3 linked regions of the Ovis aries genome follow. The protein of the gene in region 2 purifies or fractionates together with the protein of the main gene of each other region. This does not show direct contact. Links are inferred from orthologs where the notes say so. Each region holds a gene or a part of one and is shown on either strand. Other genes may lie near its edges.

Region 1 (5,074 bases), on a different chromosome or scaffold from region 2:
AAACGTATTTATATGTCTCCAGCCAATAGTGTGTAACATGTAAGGCCTATGTGCAGCTGGATGAGGAGAACACAGCCTTCTTTAAGCAAGTAACTCTCAGGTACAAGGTCTGACAGCCTTCAGGGGTCAGGCACCGATCTCCCCCACTCGTGGTCAGGTGACAGGACTCCTTTCTCTACCTTCCTTACCCTTTTCTCATCCTCCGAACAGAAAGGGTAGAGCACACACTTTGTACAAGCCATCTCGACATCACCACAATTCTAGAGCCCAGCCTGTCATCTGTAAAGGCACTTTCACGTTATCAACACTCCCACCAAGTTAAAGTAACATTCTCTCATCAACTCAGGGTTTTCCAGATTACCTCTTGGACTTGAAAGAAGGAATTTCCTAGAATGAACAGTAAAAGGCTAAAAGAAGCAGGAATTTTACAGACCAAATAAAAATGTTACATTAACTAAAAATGGAAAAAGATTAGTGATACTCTTAGGTCAGTCAGGGGTACCAGCTGTTCCCCTGGCCCGCCTAGTTTTAACTGAAGAGAAACAAATTTGTGCCCATGTGTCACAGGTAACAAAAAAGCTCAGTAAAACTTTCCTTTTTATTCCCATCAATATCGTCATTTTTCCCTTGCTCCTTAGTCCCTCTTATCTAGCACTCTGACCATCGCTAGGGAAGAGAAGTCCTCCTTCACTGAATCACCTCACCCTCTAAGTACGAAAAAGTGGAAGTTGGCAAACAGCAGATGGGCAGACAGATACAAGGCATGCCCTCCCAGCCCCATAAAGCGTCCTCAAAATACAGCTTGGCCGAGAAGCCTTCATGTAAGAAAGACATTCTCCTTTCAGTCAACTGCCTTCAGTCCTAAGAGCCAGGTGCATAAGATCCCACAGAAAACAGATTCCGGTCATTGTGGAATAGGAGACTCACCCAGAGACAGACACGCACACCCCTCACACCTACATACACACTCCTTTCACCCCCAGCACCAAACACCAGTGACTATGAAGACCAAACATCTACTCTGAAGAGGCCTGCACGTGCTGGGTCTGGACCAGCACGGTTGACTGTGGCCATGCAGACATTCTGGGTCTGTGCTGTGCGGCACTGTAACGAGCACTTGCAGTGTGGATGTGGGAATGGGGGACTGGGCACCTCAGTGGCCTAGGTGGTGACTGGCTACCTGCTGCCTGCCGTGGCTGTGAGAATGCTGCCAGAGCGCTATGTGGAAAGTGGCGGCTGTCACAGGGTTCTGCCCAGCCAGGCAGGGCAGCACCAGGAAGAGCCAGGACCGAGCGAGCACGAGTGGGTTCACAGTGACACACGTCCCCAGTGACGCTGCCAAACATGTCCTCTCGAAACAGGTGCAGCTGCAGGGCTTGCACCCTGGGAACTGGCAGCCGGTCTGCTCAGGGTCCATCAGTGCACTCGGGGCAGTCTGACTTCAGACATGTTCTAAGGGGGAAGGACAAGAAAAACTGGAGCCTGTTCTTTAAAACTTTTACTAAACAAGCCAAAAAGAACATTTGTCCCCCAGTCTTTAGGAGGGAGTAGGCAAGAGCAGGAAGCAGGCGTTGCAACGCACGAGACAGCTTTTATTTCCCACAGCTTTGGGAAGGGGCAGGAACAAGCTCCCTGTGAGCAGCTGCAACCGACAACCTCTCAGGAGAACTGCACGTCGGCCTTCCAGGCTAAGGCTAATCCTCTGAAACAGGTCAACAAACTGCAGCTCATGGGCCAAACCAAGCCCATCAGCTACTTAACTAGAACAGAGCCACATCGTTACCTTACGCCTCGTCTCTGGGTGCTCTCACACTGCAACAGCAGAGATGAGTAGAGAAGGGCCCACAAAACCTAAATGATTTACTGTCCAGACTTTACAGAAAGTGCCAACCCCTGTTTTAGAGAGATGAGAGACCGCTGGTGACAGACGCCACATCAGGAACACGTCGGAACAGAGACATGGAAGGACTTTTCCTCAAGGGCCTGGGTGGCGACTTGTTCCGGGCGCAGAACCCCAGTGCGGCTGCCCTCGGGGCCGGGTGGGCACAGGGAAGGTGCCCAGGCTCACAGTGAGCCGCAGACTTACTGTCCCCCAGGATCAGTTCCACCTCCTCATCCGCGTCTGAGTCTTCGTCCTCCGCGTCCTCCCCCTCCTCCAGGAGGTTTGCCAGCTCCTCGTCCGAGGGCGAGAAGTCGTTGTCCCCGTCCTCCCCTGCGTTCTCGTTGGTGTCGTCCTCCTCGAGCTCTGCCTCCAGCAGCTGATCCGTGTCCAGCTCGTCCAGGTCGTCAGTGTCGTCGTCGTCTTCGTCGTCATCTTCTTCCTCCTGCTCTTCCTCTTCCTGGTAAGAAAGCATGAGGTCCGTTAGCCAAGACACCAAGACCCGGGCCACCTTGGCCACACAGGGAGCCTCTCCCCGGCTCCCCAGAGGAGCGGCGGGAACAAGCAGCAGAGCACACGGTGATCCAGGTTTCAGCACAGACTTCACGGGCCAGCGTGACTCGTCAGTGACGGCTGAGACAGGCGCGCACGCGTCCCCCAAGGCGCCAAGCGCTCCCTCAGACAAGGACTGCTGGCCACCCACCAAGGCAGTACTCGGCACGCAGCCCTTCTCCAAGGAAATGGGTAACACTCCACAGAAGTCTCTGCCATCGATTCTAGGTTGCTAACTAATAACAAACCCAAAGAGGCTCTTCTCTCTCTCTTGCATCAACCAAATCAAATGAAATCAGCTGAGGTACTGGAATAAAAGCTTCGACCTGGTATCTAAAAAGCAATGCTTAATCAAACAAGACAAATAACAGCTGTGGCACTGGCTCCTAAGCCCTTTCCATCCTTGTCCTCGATCTTCTAATCACAGATAAAGCGTGGGTAAACCTCTGACACCGCATCACAAGCATCCCATGATCTGAATATCCAACAAAATAGACTTTTACTATGTATATAACACTAAGACTGTATTTTCTGTTACAAGCCACATATTAACCCCCAGTATGCGAGAGAAACCGTCCATACTTCGTTCTTAAGAGATCTTCCCAAAGGTAAGCAGATACCAGAAGACTAATGAAGTGCTTGGCCCTGGGGCCCTGGGCTTTGGAAATGATACACTTTGGCATCTGCCGCATTTCAGTTTTGCACCAAAATCCAAACCGTTTCCCTTCAACCAAGAGAGGACACAAAGACACCTCTGCTTTCTGAGGGATGGCAGCTGTTCCCAACATTCAATCACTAATCCTGCTGCTCAAACATCAACTGTGAGCATTGCCAGCAGCGACAGGATCCTAATTCCTGCAGTAATAAAATACAAGATTCACGGAACCAGAGCCTAACAAAAGTCACGACAGAACAACCCATCCACAGCAGAAGAAGTATTTTTTAAACATGTTTGAAAGTTCTGCTTCATGCCAATCACTTAAAAACCAAGTACACAACTCATCCAGCCACTGGTGCTCATCAGCGGTCGTGCGAACCAGGCTCCCATCAGCACAGCAGCTCTGCTCTATGAACCTTTGATAACTGGAGCCACCATTTAGACTTTTTGATTTGCTGTTTGGCCACTGATTGAGACTTTTCAACAATTTCTGGCAGCTATATGGGAAAAACGTTAAATACCCAGTATTCCTGATACCTGTACAAGTACATTCCATACCAGAATTTGTGTGTGTGTGTGAACAGAACCCAGGACGACCTGCAACCCTTGCTGAACAGCCTCACCATACATCACCTACATGTGAACAGCTACTGAGCATTTATCCACTGGAAATGAACTGAAAGTACTTGGAGGCATTAAAAATAAACTGACGCACGGACAAGCTCCTGGCCCCAAGTACATCAGCTCATACAAATAACTGCGAAAGGAGAGAAGGGTCAAAATTCAGGGAACTAATTCACAGTGTTCACCAGATTACAAACTCTCGCACCTCTTTTTCCAGGCATGTTTTCAGGGCCGTGGCCAAAATTAGTTCCAATTCATCAGTAAAGTACCACAGTTAAAAACAAGTACATTAAAAAAGAGTATCCAGGGCCCTGCTTCTTAGGCTCTGGAATAGAAGATATGCATGCTATTCCGCATCCAGATGGTACTACTTTCGATTCAGAAGTGAACACGTAGTGAATGATACACACGCTCATCCCTGTATTCAGAGTACATGACAGGAAAAGACGCCTAGGCTTTGGGCTCCAACAAGCAAGGGTTAGAATCCTGGCTCTGCCAATTATGTGTTGTATGAACTTGGGCAATTTATATAAACTTTAAGTGTTTCAGGACGGCATAACTTTTAAAGGCCCGCAATTGAGTAAATAAAAGGGTAAACTGTTCACACAGGCATCCGTTATCCAGCACATTTAAGGAAGATCAATCTTCATTTCTAAAAACATCAAAGCTCGGCTGATTCAGGAAAACTAAGAAAAAGCTCCAAAATCAAGAGCAATTCTAGAAAATAGGTCAACCAGTCTATCCACCATTCCAGATTCTTCCAGGAGCCTACAAACCCAACCTTTAATCGTGTAGCAGAATAATTTTGTATTTCTTCATCCCAGAAGGCCATGACGATCTATGTGACCACAACAGAAAAAGGGAAATGAACGGGAAGGAGAAATCTACCAGAACCTCCAAACACAGCACTTAGTCATTTATACTCTGGATTTAATGGCCAGTGCTTTAACATGTATTTTGTTACACGTGGATATGACCATAAGCTCACTTTCTAACTTTTAAATCTGAAACCTGGAGCATGAAACAGAAGCTCACAACATCTATCCAAAATGCTGTGGTAAAATCTAATCCTGTGGTTGAACCCAAAACAGAGTTGAGGAAGCAATTTTAAGAGCATTCTTGCAGGTTTCAGTACCTGCTTTGTAAATTGCAAAGGCCCTCACCTTCGTATCTACAGAACAAAGCTTCCACTGAGTGGTCAAAAAAGTGATCCAGAAATTATTACTTAATGAAAGAGGCAATCTTGCTAGAATCCTGACTCAACTCCAGCCACATTTAGATCAATGAGTATTGTTTTAATTCCCTAAGACCTCTCTTTCAGGGCTTAGAAACACGAATTCAGGGCCAGGCTGTTTTAAACT
Region 2 (6,937 bases):
TTCCGAAGTCTCATCCTCTGCCCTGCCCAGCCCTCCTCCCTCTCCAAAAGCACCCCTCCCTTCTGGGGTCTCACCACTCCTGCAGGGTCCGGGCAATGGCGCTGAGGTCCTGGCGCTGGATGTCCCGCCCAATGCTGTAGTCGACCTCCAGCCGCTGGTGGCGCTGGTCCAGGGAGCCGCGTAGCACGTCGGCGTACACGGCCTCAATGACCAGGTCTTCTAGCTGCCTCACGTTGCGCAGGGCTAGCGCCTCCAGCAGCACTGCATAGGGGATACACTGGGGCCCCAGGGCAGTGGGGTTTGTGTGGGACCGTGGCAGAGACGGCTTCCAAGATCCCCTTCTCTCCACCCCCCTGCCCACCCTCCACTCCTACTCCTGATCACCTCCTCTAAGAGGCTGGTTCTAAGGTAACATAAATAACAAGTATTCCCACCTGAGAAATAACACGGTAAGAATCTTAAATAAAAGACATACACCCTCTTGGACTTCCCAGGTGGCACTAGTGGTAAAGAACCCGCCTGACATCACGGGAGGATATGGTGTGGGGGAGGTCTGGAGCTCCTCCATCTACTTCCAAAGAGGCATCTCACAGGAGACAGCCTGATTTAAGTAAAACCGTAAGCATGACGGAGGAGAGTGAGGTAACAACTGGGAGATGCAGATGGGAGGGGGGATAGTCAAAAAACAGGACCCAACAGTGAATACAAATGTGTAACACTTCTGGGTTATAGACTTCTTTCTTTTTGGTCACATGGTACAGCTTGCAGGATCTTAGGGGAGGAGGGGGCTGTTGAAGGACACAGCCAGCAGCATCCGTGTTGCTATCCTGAATCCAAACGCAAAAGGTGTTTTACTTAGAACCTGAGTTGGTCGAAAAGCAAAAGAGAAAACTTCCAGAATCATATTCAGCCCCAAAGGCCGAAGGTAATGGAGTTCAGATGTGGGACCTGGAGGATCGTTGAGGGGGGCAAGAAGAAGCAACACGGTGACCGTTCCCTTCCGATGGACCCTCGAGAAGGGACATACAGAAAGGTGTTCTGTGACTCAGGACCCGGTAGGGACTGTCACTCACCTTGACTTTGGCAGCCAAGGTGACGACCGATAGGTGTCGAAGCTTATTCTTTTGAGCCTCTGTGAGTGGGGGAAGATTCCGGGCTTCGGCTAGAAAAAAATAAAGTGTAGGAAATCCTGATTTGCACTTTTGTGGGAAGTCCTAGCCTCCTTTTTTCTTTTTTAGTTTTCCATGCCAATTCAGGTCTTGACTCTGACCCTGACCCAAGGGATCTAAGTCAGGTACCCCAGGAATGTCTTATAAGTCCCTCTGTAAATTGCCCTTCTCCCACCTCCAGTCTTCAGAGCTCCAACCCCTCCGGTTACCTAAGTAGTCAGCATACGTCCCGTAAGCAAACACTGTGAGCAGCCGGAACGTGGAAGCGAAGTCGCTCTCAGCCAGCTGCGGAAACACGAGGGAAGAGAAGCGATGACAGGAAGGGCCTCTCTCTCCACCCTCCAGACCCTGCCTGTTTGAACTCCAATCTCCAGGCCCAGCTCTCCCCTCCAACATTAGCTCTCCCAGCTCATCGAAAGGAATTCTCTGCGTCTCGGATTGCTCTCCCCAAGGAAGCCTCATTTTCACCTCCAGGCCTTTGCGGAGTCTGTCCCCCAGACCCACAACACCCTCTTCCTCCATCTGCCTCCCAATTCCTACCCTAAAGTCAAAAACTTTCGTAGTGTTTAGTTATCTAACACATTTCACACACACGCACACCCCCCGGACATTACAAACTGTGTTGTTTCATCCTTAGAGTATATCTAGTATTTCTGAATTTGAATACCTTTAGGGAGTCTGCTGTACTCGCCAATTCACCAAGGACTTCTGCCTTGGCCTCACTCCCTGGACAGCTGCAGGATCTGGGCCGGCATTGGGAGGTGCCTCTGCCTCACACTGGCCTCAGCTGGGAGCATGAATCACTCAAGCCAGTCCACCCAGGCCTCCTCTCCTCCTACCACTGATCACCCACTTAGTCCATCAAAGCCCACCTGATGCTGTTACCTAACAAGGTCTTTCTTTTCAACAAGATTACAGCCTAGTTCCTGCTATCCCACTCAGATCTAGCAGAAAATGTGCATGTACTTGGCTTTGCTGATAAATACTTGCTAAATAAGTGATTTATACATGGATATCCATTCATCTTATCTGCACAACTGGAATGTATGTTTCAAAAGGGGAGCCCCGTGGTTTGTACTCTTCTGGTATTTCCAGATGACTAGAAGAATGCTAAACAGGCACCCCAAACCTACCTCTTTTCCTTCCCCTTGATTCTCTTTGATTCCACTGCAGAGGAAAGCAGGGAAAGAAGGCAGCCAGTTTTCTTTGGACAAGAAGGATCCCAAAAGGTTAACTGCATTGACTCAATCACTGGCCCTCAAAAAATTTACTCAGAGTTCACCCACCTACCACTGTCAGAGTATCTCAGAACTTTGGCTAGTGCCATACATCTTGGTAATCTACTCACTCTGGACTTCAAACTCTTAATTCTATCACTTCTGTGGGAACAGTTCTCTCCCCTGTGTTCCTAGCATATTATTGTGCGTCTTGAAGAAAAAGATAACTTCTACCTTAGCTAACTTAAGCGAATTTACCGGTCATGACAATTTCACATTCATTCCTTCTATTTGTACCAGACTTTACACTTTCACATAATCTCACCTGATTTTTACGACACTGAGGGGCAGTAACAGGTCCATTTTGTTTTGTTTTTGTGGCCATACCATGTGGCATGTGGGATCTTAGTTTCCCCACCTGGGATCAAACCTCCACCGCCTGCACTGGAAGGTGGAGTCTTAACCACCGGACTACCAGGGAAGCCCCCGTGTCCAGTTTTTAAAAAGAAAATGTAGGTCCTAAAATAAAAGTGACCTGATAAGGTAACAGGCTTCCCTGGTGGCTCAGACAGTAAAAAAAATCTGCCTGCAATGCAGGAGACCCGGGTTTGATCCCTTCCTGGGGAAGATCCCCTGGAGTAGGAAATGGCAACCTATGCCAGTATCCTTACCTGGAGAATACCATGGACAGAGGAGCCTGGTGGGCTACAGTCCATGGGGTCACAATGAGTCAGATACCACTGAGCAAATAACACATACTACAATCAAGGTAATATGATTAAGAGCCATGACATTGATGGAGACAGGCTAGAATCAGGTCTCCTATTCTGAATCACAAGCTCTTATTCAGCTGAATGGTTATCGGGTTGAAAATGAGCCCTGTCCACCCATTCTTAGTCTTTAGCCCCAAGCCTCCTTGGAAGCTATCCAGGTCAGGAACCCACCTCTCTAACATTAGGCATATCCAGCAGTTCCCCAAACACGTAGACACCAGGGGCCTCCAGCACCTGGTGGATGAGTGTGGCCAGCGCTGCCCCCTTGGCCGACTTGGCCAGGAGCAGAAACTGCTCCTGGTTCTGCCCCGTCACCTTGACCTCCGCACTCATGTTGGCGCTGAGCTGGGGGGACCTGGGCTCAGGAAGTCTGCAGCTGCAAGGAAAGAGGATGGGAAGCTGGAGGTTTCTGAACTGGGGAAGCTGGAAATCACAAGGCCTACGGGCTGGATTGCAGAAGCACTGAGCCACTTTGTAACCATAGTGTAACCCTTGTATCTTAGGAATCCTAAGATCAGCCACTTCGATGGCACCCTGGCTGATACAGCGTTGTCACGCCCACCTCCCCCATGTCTGAACCTATCCCCAAATCCCACCACGTGCACCCCATGGAACTCCAAAGCACAAGTCTCAGTGGGGAAAGGGATGTCACATAGTGTTCACCCCAAAGACGACGCTCCCCCAAATATCCACTGTGCCCCGCAGGTGCCCCACACCACGTGACCTCACCCTAGCGATCCTTTCACGTGGCTCCGCCCCCTCCCTTAAAGAGGCCGCCGAGGGACCGTGGGCTCCCGCCGGCCACCCCGTCGTACTCTGGGTCAGACTCTGCGGCCCGCTACCTGGAAGCTCCGTCTTCCAGCGCACCGGGCGGGGCCACCGCTCCGTCACCTCCGGCAGCTGTTCTCAGCTTTTCCTGCCACCTCCCTGCAGGGTCACTCTAGCCCCTAAACTCTATGGCTGGCTTCCGGCCGTACTTCCGCTCTTATGGGGAGGATTTCGGGCGCGACATGCCCCGCCCTCGCCTCTGACTGTGAAGCTCCCGAGAGCGACGCAGGCATTCTGCTCTCTGATTGGCTGTTGAGGAAAGGCTGATGGGCGGCTTTTTTTCCTGCTCTGTTTTAATAAAACTTTATTGTTGGTCGGGTGCTAGACGCTAAATGACGGGGGGCTCCTAGTCTCCGGCAGGTCCGGGCTTGTTCAGAGTTAGATCTAAGCTGCCTGCCTAATAGCTCGGAGAAGGAAATGGCAACCCACTCCTGTAGTCTTGCCTGGAGAATCCCATGGACGGAGGAGACTGGTGGGCTGCAATCCATGGGGTCGCTAAGGGTCGGACACGACTGAGCGACTTCACTTTCACTTTTCACTTTCATGCATTGGAGAAGGAAATGGCAACCCACTCCAGTGTTCTTGCCTGGAGAATCCCAGGGACGGGGGAGCCTGGTGGGCTGCCGTCGATGGGATTGCACAGAGTCGGACACGACTGAAGTGACTTAGCAGCAGCAGCAGCCTAATAGCTCGACTTCTGGCTTCATGGGGTGGTTGAGGTGAGAGGAAAGTTGTGATCGGAAGAGAGGGTCAGAAAGGAAAAAGGAAGGTAGGATGAAGAGAAGAGAAGATGACGACATCAGTAGTAGAGGTCCAGTAGCAGAGATCACCTGGGTATAGCAACCACTCATTTTTTTGGAGGAGCAAGAGAAAAAAGTGAAAACAATAAAGGAGATAGTAATAACTGCCATGTAGTGAATATTCCCTGGTGGCTCAATGGTAAAGAATCTACCTTGCAATGCAGGAGACTCCGGTTTGATCCCTTGGTTGGGAAGATCCCCTGGAGAAGGAAATGGCAACCCACTCCAGTATTCTTGCCTAGGAAATCCCATGGACAGAGGAGCCTGACAGACTCTAGTCCATGGGGTCGCAAAAGAGTCTTAGCAACTAAACAACAAATTGAATTTAACTATTGAATTGAACAAATTGAACTATTGATCAGACATCTTTTAAAATTAAAACTGCATCCCACTGAATCCTTTTAACAGAGTCCCCATTGTGACTCCAGGACACCATCTTATCATGATTACATGTGTTTATACAGCGATGCTTTTCTGTAATATTGACTCTTTTACTTGCTGGGGAAGGGAAAAAAAAAAAAAACCTAAGAGGAGGGAAGGCATATATTGTTACTCTTACTGTACAGCTTAGAAAAACTGAGGCTAATAAAAATCGACTTTACGTGGAACCCATGTGTTTTCAAATCTTTCCAATTCACCATGATACTTTGGGTGAAAAAAAATAAACAAGTAACGTTTCTATGCTGCTGCTAAGTCGCCTCAGTCGTGTCCGACTCTGTGCGACCCCAGAGACAGCAGCCCACCAGGCTCCCCTGTTCCTGGGATTCTCCAGGCAAGAACACTGGAGTGGGTTGCCATTTCTTTCTCCAATGCATGAAAGTGAAAAGTAAAAGTGAAGTCGCTCAGTCGTGTCCGACTCCTAGCGATCCCATGGACTGCAGCCTACCAGGCTCCTCCATCCATGGGATTTTCCAGGCGAGAGTACTGGAGTGGGGTGCTGTTGCCTTCTCCGAACATTTCTATTGTGTTCTATATTTCATACTGGCCTTGCAGAAGGTCAAATCAGAGCAAAGTTAATGATGTCTTGGAGCTTTCGGGTGAGGCACTGAGCTAATAGTTTACTTATTCAATGATACTTAAAACAATTCATTATTGTTTCTCTTTTCCAAATGGAAAAACAGGCCTCGGGGAGTTAAGTAAACAGGGAAAAGAGAGAAGGAGATGAAAAAAGAATGAGGAAGAAGAGGCAGGGGAGGAGAAAGAAGAATAAATGAGTTGGTACCTGAAAGTGAGAAGGAATCAAAGGCATAAAAAACCGTCCAAAGTTTGGAGGAACCAAATAATTATTCGATCTAACCATATCTATTAATATTTAAAAAGGAAAGGAAAAAGAGAAATATGAGGAAAGAATGAGAAATGAGTCAACATATATTTTATCATGTGCCAGGTCTTTATTTGTTCAATGTTTTAAAGACTATATTTTTAGAACAGTTTTAGGTTTACAATAAAATTGAGAAGAAGGTATAGAAATTTGCCATATAGGCCCTGAGCCTACACGTGCATAATCTCCATTATTAACATCAGTCTAGGGACTTCCCTGGTGGTCCAGTGTTTGAGACTCCATGCTCCCGCTGCAGGGAGCATGAGATCCATCCCTGGTTGGGAAGCTAAGATCCTACATGCTGTGCAGCATGGTCAAAATTTTACCTAAGGGTTGACTCTTGGTGGCATACATTCATTGGGTTTGGAAAACCGTATAATGACATATCTATAATTATTATGTATAATATATACATAATATCCTTGCCCTAAAAAATCCCTATGATCTGCCTAGTTATCTCTCTCCACCTCCCACCCCTGGCAACTACTTATACTTTTGTCATCTCCATAATACTGCCTTTTCCAGATTGTCATAGAGTAGAAATCATTCAGTACGTAGCCTTCCCAGATTGGTTTCTTTCACTTTAAGTTTCCTCCATGTCTTTTTGTGGCTCGTTAGCTCACTTCTTTTTAGTGCCAAATAGTATTCCATTGTCTGGATGTATCACTGTTTTTGCATGCAGCTATTGAAGAACATTGGTTGCTTCCAAGCTTAGGCAATTATGAATAAAGCTGCTCTAAACATCCATGTTCAGGTTTCAGTGTGGACATAAGTTTTCTCATCCCTCAGGGAAATACCAAAGAGCACAATTCCTGGATCATATGGTGAA
Region 3 (6,182 bases), on a different chromosome or scaffold from region 2:
CTGTTGCAAAGCTCAGTTAACAAATGATTTTGGTATTCCCTTTCATCTTCTGGCATCATAGCAGTGATTTCTCTAACAGAGGAGCATATCTGAAAGCTTTGTTGAAACCATTTTCTTAAAGTGAGAGGATGAAAGATTTGCAACAGGATAAAGAGAGAGACAGACAGATGCTGAGCCAGGTTCCCACAGTTTATTGAGGGAGCCAAAGCCAGTGATAGGACAAAGGAGTCCTACTTCAACATCCCTCCTTGAAGCTGCTGGCCTCTGGCATGATGGAACATTCTGGGAGGGGGAGGACCTGCCCTGTGTGGGGCCACACAGAGCCTCTCACACCATAGCCTGCCCACCCCAAAGACCCAGACGCATGAGAGAGAAGACATAATTCCTGCCGTGGGAGGGTGCTTATCCATCCCCCTCTCCCTGAGGGGCTAGAGCTCTAGCCGTTAGGACCTCTGGAACAAAGGCCAGCGCTCCTGGCCCTCTGACTGACCAGTCTAACTAATCCTCAATGTGAAGGCCTGGGCAATGGGCCTTGCTGATGGCACAGTTCAGACCTGGCCCCAGGCATCTACTCTAGGAGCTAACACTTAACATCCAAACATGATTAAAAACACTCAGGACAGTTCTGCTGATCAGATAATGGCAGTCCTGCCAAACCCCAGCCAGAGACAGAGGTCCAAGATGATTGAGTGTGAGCATGTGAGAGGACCACACTACCCCGAGGGGAGGCTCTCCCAGGGGCCAGCTAGGGGCCCAAAGCCTGGGATTCTGTTTCTCCCCAGCCAGTGCCAGTGAGTCCCCAAAGATCCCCCATAGGGGAGAAAAGAAGGAGAAGGTGGAGAGCTGGTGAAGAGGCTCACCCATGACTGGGCCTGGAGGTCAGATCTACTGGGGCGAGGAAAAGGCTGTAGAGGGGTGGGACATTGGGGCAGGGGTGCTGGGGTGCTCCTCCGACTCTGGCATGTCATCCTGGAAGTACTCAGCCTGGCGGTACTGCCACAGACGCAGATTCCCGTCCCACTGCAGGGTAGAAGATGGCAAGCAGTCAGGGGACGCTGCCCTCACTCGGTCCCAGACACACGCTGGCCACCCTCACTCTAGCATCCTCACCGAACTGCTGACAATCTTCTCCTCAAAGGGGTGCCAGCTGACGTCACGCACACAGGCCTTGTGGCTGGTCAGCTTCTTCACGATGTGGCCACTGAGGAGGTCGTACACTGTCCGGGGAAGGCCAGAGTGGAGAAGGGCAGCCAGAAGACCTTCCAGCCATCCCTCATCTCTCCCTGCCTCTCAGGCAACCTCCCACCTTCCCAGAGGAACAAAGCCCACATCTGGGGATGCTGTTAGTTTCTTTTCCCTACCTCAGGTTGAGAGTATGATCTAGCAGAGCCTGGGTATCTCTGGCCCTTAGCTAAATGTTACAGGGTCAACAGTTAAGAAAATGAAATGTGGCTTTAAAGCAGCCATTTTTTGGAAAGCTCACAAGATATGGGAGACACCACAAAGGTGAACATGGGCCTGTCTCCATAGACTTGTAAACCTGCTGCTCCTCTTCTGGACTCGGGTGTGCCTTCCTCTCTCCCTGGATGGGCCTTCATCTCAGCACCTCCCTAGGTCTATCTTAGGCTCTGTCTTAGGCTCCATCCATCTGTGTCTGTTTCTTTTCATGCATTCCTCCTGCTTCAGTGGCTGTACATCTTTTACGACTTGCTGCTTTTTGTGTCATTCTTTCTGTCTCTGTTCCCTCCTACCTTTCATCTGTAATCTCTTCCCTGACTGATTAAAAAACAGAACTGTGTATATTTTTGGTGATCTAGTATATTTACTGACTAGAATTCTGTGTTCCTTTCTTAATTTAAAATGCTAATGAATAGAATGTTTTCTCTTTCTCTGTTTAAGCCACCCTGCATCAGGCTAAATGAAATTTCATTATAGTTCTCACTGGATTTCTTAAGGTGCTCACTGGTGCTCACAGGCAGAATGCCAGGGGAACATTCCTGCCCTTCCCGAGACCCCCTGGTCTGACCCAGTCCTTACCGACCACTTTGCCAGTGGAGCAGCCACTGTAGATGAACTGCTGGCCGGTGCTGTGGGTGGGGGAGAATCGGCAACGGATGAGGGTGTGCAGCACCCCGTGGCCCCGGTAGGTCATCAAGGAGCTGTCCCCTGGGAGCTTCAGCTTCCGCCAGGCTGGGGAGGGATGCAGGGCAAACCCGGGGTTAGGGAGTCTGGATTCTCCTGTATCACCAGTCCTCAGCAAACAATGATGCTCATAGACAGTCCTCTTTCCAATCCCCAACTGGTGTCTCTTTCCCCACCAAACAGTCAGGTGATATACGCCAGTATGGCTCTGCTGATTGTCAAGATGCTGCAGTACTTTTGTATCCATTGGCTTGGAGTGAGTGATCCCCAGTTCCCACATTGGTAACTCCTGACTTTCCCACGGTTCAGCAAACAAAGAGTTAATGCCTGGCAAGGGGGCGTCAGGAGAGGGGTCCCAGCTTCATCCACCATGCCCACACTGGGCCTTACCACAGGTTAAATACTTTAACTAGCACTCCTGACTCTTCACTCTCCAGACCTCAGGTCCCGCTTCTGCTCTCACCTTTTTTGGGCACCTGCTGCCAGCGGTAGTCCCAGTTTTGCTGTGTGGCAGCCTGGCGAGAGGCTTCCATGCCTTCCCGGCTAGAAAAACGTCGGATATCCCAGAGCTTGATGGTCTGGTCTTTGGAGTTGGAGATGAGATATCGGGCATCACCCTGTGAATCCAGGATGGATAAGGAGGATCAGAGCCCCCCCTCTCAGTTGAGCGGTATGAACGCAGGCTGCTCTTTGGTCTCCTCTCTCTTCACCCAGGTGGGCCTCGCCATTGGTTTCCTACCACGGGCCACACACCCTGGCTAGGCTTCCCCTTCTTTGTCCAGCACACTGACTGGCTCCTGTTCTACCTTGGATCAGACTGTCTTCTACTTTTCTTGTACAGAAAGCCCCGCTCCTTGTGGATGGTGCTGATCTTGCAAACCGTGGCTAAAGGTGGAGCTTGGAGAGTTGCCACACCTGTTTGCTTTGATAGCACAACTCAGTCGCCTGGCTGTGCGGTCCTGCCTCTGCACCCACCTTACTGTCAATGAAAGTGATGCCGTCCTGATGTCCGGCAAGTGCGCCCACAGGCTTGGGGTCATCTTCTCTCATGGTGCGTCGATCCCACACTTTGCAGATGGCATCGTCACCCCCAGAGAACAGGATTTGGGAGCTGACATCAGCAAAGGCCACCGCATTCACATCATCCTCATGGGACTCAATCTAGGGGAGAAAGGGGCCAGAATGTTTACAACCTCTTTCTAGGTCTTCCAACAAGCCAAGGACCAGGAGGCGGGGGCTTGAAATCTCGGGAGCAATACCTGAAGGGTCCGCCGGTTCTGTTCTCGATCAAAGACGTACAGGCAGCCATCATTGGCCCTGAAGGGGAGGCGATAAAGAGGGCTTTGGAGCCAGAATCGAGAGGACCCATGCTACGTGTGCTCTGGAGACACTGTGTCTCGAAGTCCCGCTAAGGGGCAAGCCCTTGTGTCTTCTTATACAGGAGGTGGGAGAAGAGTTAGCTGTGACCTCCCATCTCGTGCTGGAGAAATGGTGCTTGAGAAGTGAAGCCACACATAAATCTTGGCCCTGGAGAAGTCCTGGTTGTTCTCCACAGCTGCCTGGGTACGGGTATCTACTATAGTCTCTGTAATGGTAGAGCCCGTTTCTGGGAGAATTTCTATCTCATTAAGTTCTGGGGGCATCCCCACAAACACTTACCCTCCTAGCACTTCTCGTCCATCTGAGGAGACAGCGATGGAGAATACAGCGAAGCGACGTTCATCTGGCCTGAAAAGAGACAAGGAGGAGCTGCATTAAGTGAACTTCCCTTTAGCCCGGGTTAATCCACAGAATGTGACAAGGGCCGTGAGGCACACTGCTGAGGGGAAAAGAAATCCCGCCAGCACACATGCCAGAATGTGGGGCACCTCAGTGAGGAACCAAGAAGAATCCTGCAGCCATCTATTTATCCTGGTCCTCTGGCTGACAGGCTGGGTGGTTCCCTCCCAGAAGTCCACACAGAGAAACTTGCAACCAGTGTACTTTCCCCTCTAAGTGGGAGTTCCAGTTCAAGAGGTATGCTCCTAGAGAGCCTTTCTTGAGTAGTTTCTGATGAGTCTGACCAGTAAGGGAAGCCAGTACCTTAGATCCAGGGCAGTGTGTGTGTCTCCCTCCCCGTAGATGTTGCAGATATGAACTAAGAGAAGCAAGAGAAACAAGAATCTTTCAGGGCTGAGGTAAGGAGGGTAGAGCCAGGGAAGAGATAGAACAAATGGGAAGGAAGTTGGACCTGGGGAGTAATTTGTCCAGGAAAAGGCATGGAGTCATGGCACGGAGGAGATGGGTGTTTGGAGACCTCAGGTCCCCAGCTGGAGAGACCATGGAGGTCTGGGGCACACTCACTGTAATCGGACCAGCTGGAGTAAAGGAAATGGTTCCCATCAGGGGTGAAGGCCACATCCAAGACGCTCCAGCCGACATCTCGGGCTTTGATGCTCTTGAATTTACGAAAGCGGCCATACCGGCAGTCATATAGTCGGATTGTCTGGTCTGTGTGAGTGGCGATCAGGCAGAATTAGAAAACAGCCTCCTGGAATCCTCCCTAGGTCAGACCTCTCTCGCTCACCACTGATCTGTGGAATCTTCCCTTGATCATGGGACAAAACATGTGTTCTAGCTAAGCATCCTTAAGCCAGGGTCTGAGCTCCCTGGATCTGGGGCTTTCTAGCATCAGTCAGAGGGAACATCTCTCGTTCTAAGGCAGCTGGTAGGACTAGGGTATGGTACCTTGACAGGCAGACATGAAGATTTGACCATCTTTGCTGTAGATGCCACAGAAAGCTTTCTGAGAGTAGGTATCGGTGAAGCCCAGATCGTTGGGCAAGAAGCTGGGGAAGCAGAAAGAAAGTGAGGGTAAGAGGAGCTCAGGATGGCTCCTTGTCCCAGTTAGTAGCATCCTAACACAGCTGGATGTGAGTACAGGGGCATTCTTCCCGGCTTTGGGTATAAGCCTTTGTCTTTGATTCATTCTATCATCCTCTCAATTGCTATACTTTTCCACTTTGCTCATTCTCAAAGCCTCAACCCCACATAACCTAACTTTAATATCCTTGAGAATCCTTTAACACTCATCCTTTTAAGGTTTAAGAAAGTTTAGACTTATCTGGCCCCTGGAATCTCTCCACCAAGCCCCATACTCACTGAGACATCACTCGAGACCGTTCTCCAAGGGAGAAGCTTCCCTGGTGGCAGAGGCCCCGTTCTCTCTAAAGGAAGGGATTGGGGAATATTGCTAGTAGAAACAGAGGGCCACCTCAGCCACACCAAGCCCCCTCCTCCAAAATATTGCTCTTGCTACAGGAATGAACCCAGCACATAGTAATATGTCCCACCAAATGCCCACTCAGGCTGGTTGAGAGTGCTCCAGCTCCAGCACTTGAGGCTTCCTTGGAAAGTTTACTTCCCTCTTCTCTGGGATTGTGGATTCTGGCTGCACTAATAGTCCTGCTGCCAGACTGGCTGGATGAGGAGAGGCCTACCTGGTGCAGCATTTGAGGAAAGCTGAGCTCCCGGGCTGCCCGCCTAAGCCCCAGCCGCCCTGTGGCCAATTCCACTTGTGTCTTGATCTCACTGCATTCCAGCTCCCGGGTGTCAGGGGTTGCATCCACTGTGAGCACCAAAGAGAAGTTTCATCCTAGGTCTTTTCCAGCCCCAGCAGATAGTTAGCAAGGCTGTGCTCAGCCTTCTCAATGTGGCTGAATATACTGGGGCTGCAAAGACTCCCTCATTCCTTGAATTATCTCAGCTTTTTCTTTCAATTTTTGCCAAAATTAATTTTTTTAAAAAAGTTTTGTAGTGGAAATCCTTTGATGTCAGGGTCTCTGTCTGTCTTTCCTCTTACCTGGTGGATTGTATCGGTCTCCAAGACGACCATCCCAGGCACTGTCATGCTCTTCCTCTGAGTCCGAGAGGGCCTGGATGAGCTGCAAATTTGCTGCACCTCCTCCCTGCACCAACCTCACTTGGCCTCTGTGGAGAGACCCCCCCACCCCGTGATAAAGGGGAGGATCCCTTCCCCAGACCAACCAAATTCAGAGTCA

Evidence for each region.
Region 1: the proteins of COPS7A (region 2) and DCAF1 purify together in Homo sapiens (affinity purification with mass spectrometry; 4 studies listed by BioGRID and IntAct, with this or other methods). This does not show direct contact. The link is inferred for Ovis aries from reciprocal best matches to the Homo sapiens genes COPS7A and DCAF1.
Region 3: the proteins of COPS7A (region 2) and DCAF11 purify together in Homo sapiens (affinity purification with mass spectrometry; 3 studies listed by BioGRID and IntAct, counting the BioPlex papers as one, with this or other methods). This does not show direct contact. The link is inferred for Ovis aries from reciprocal best matches to the Homo sapiens genes COPS7A and DCAF11.

The regions. Positions count from the first base shown.
Region 1 is NC_056072.1:49,423,680-49,428,753, reverse strand, and holds the end of DCAF1 (DDB1- and CUL4-associated factor 1), read right to left. Parts: intron 2,340-5,074; coding exon 1,899-2,339; 3' UTR 1,484-1,898; downstream 1-1,483. UniProt on the Homo sapiens protein: Acts both as a substrate recognition component of E3 ubiquitin-protein ligase complexes and as an atypical serine/threonine-protein kinase, playing key roles in various processes such as cell cycle, telomerase regulation and histone modification.
Region 2 is NC_056056.1:209,554,040-209,560,976, forward strand, and holds the start of COPS7A (COP9 signalosome complex subunit 7a), read right to left. Parts: upstream 4,118-6,937; 5' UTR 4,002-4,117; exon of another isoform or gene 3,823-4,001; intron 3,536-3,822; 5' UTR 3,493-3,535; coding exon 3,331-3,492; intron 1,455-3,330; coding exon 1,379-1,454; intron 1,163-1,378; coding exon 1,074-1,162; intron 278-1,073; coding exon 75-277; intron 1-74.
Region 3 is NC_056060.1:20,837,726-20,843,907, forward strand, and holds part of DCAF11 (DDB1- and CUL4-associated factor 11), read right to left. Parts: intron 6,112-6,182; coding exon 5,984-6,111; intron 5,750-5,983; coding exon 5,622-5,749; intron 5,349-5,621; coding exon 5,284-5,348; intron 4,971-5,283; coding exon 4,870-4,970; intron 4,633-4,869; coding exon 4,486-4,632; intron 4,280-4,485; coding exon 4,225-4,279; intron 3,871-4,224; coding exon 3,802-3,870; intron 3,460-3,801; coding exon 3,402-3,459; intron 3,304-3,401; coding exon 3,118-3,303; intron 2,760-3,117; coding exon 2,606-2,759; intron 2,191-2,605; coding exon 2,038-2,190; intron 1,218-2,037; coding exon 1,111-1,217; intron 1,021-1,110; coding exon 886-1,020; 3' UTR 861-885; exon of another isoform or gene 177-860; intron 1-176. UniProt on the Homo sapiens protein: May function as a substrate receptor for CUL4-DDB1 E3 ubiquitin-protein ligase complex.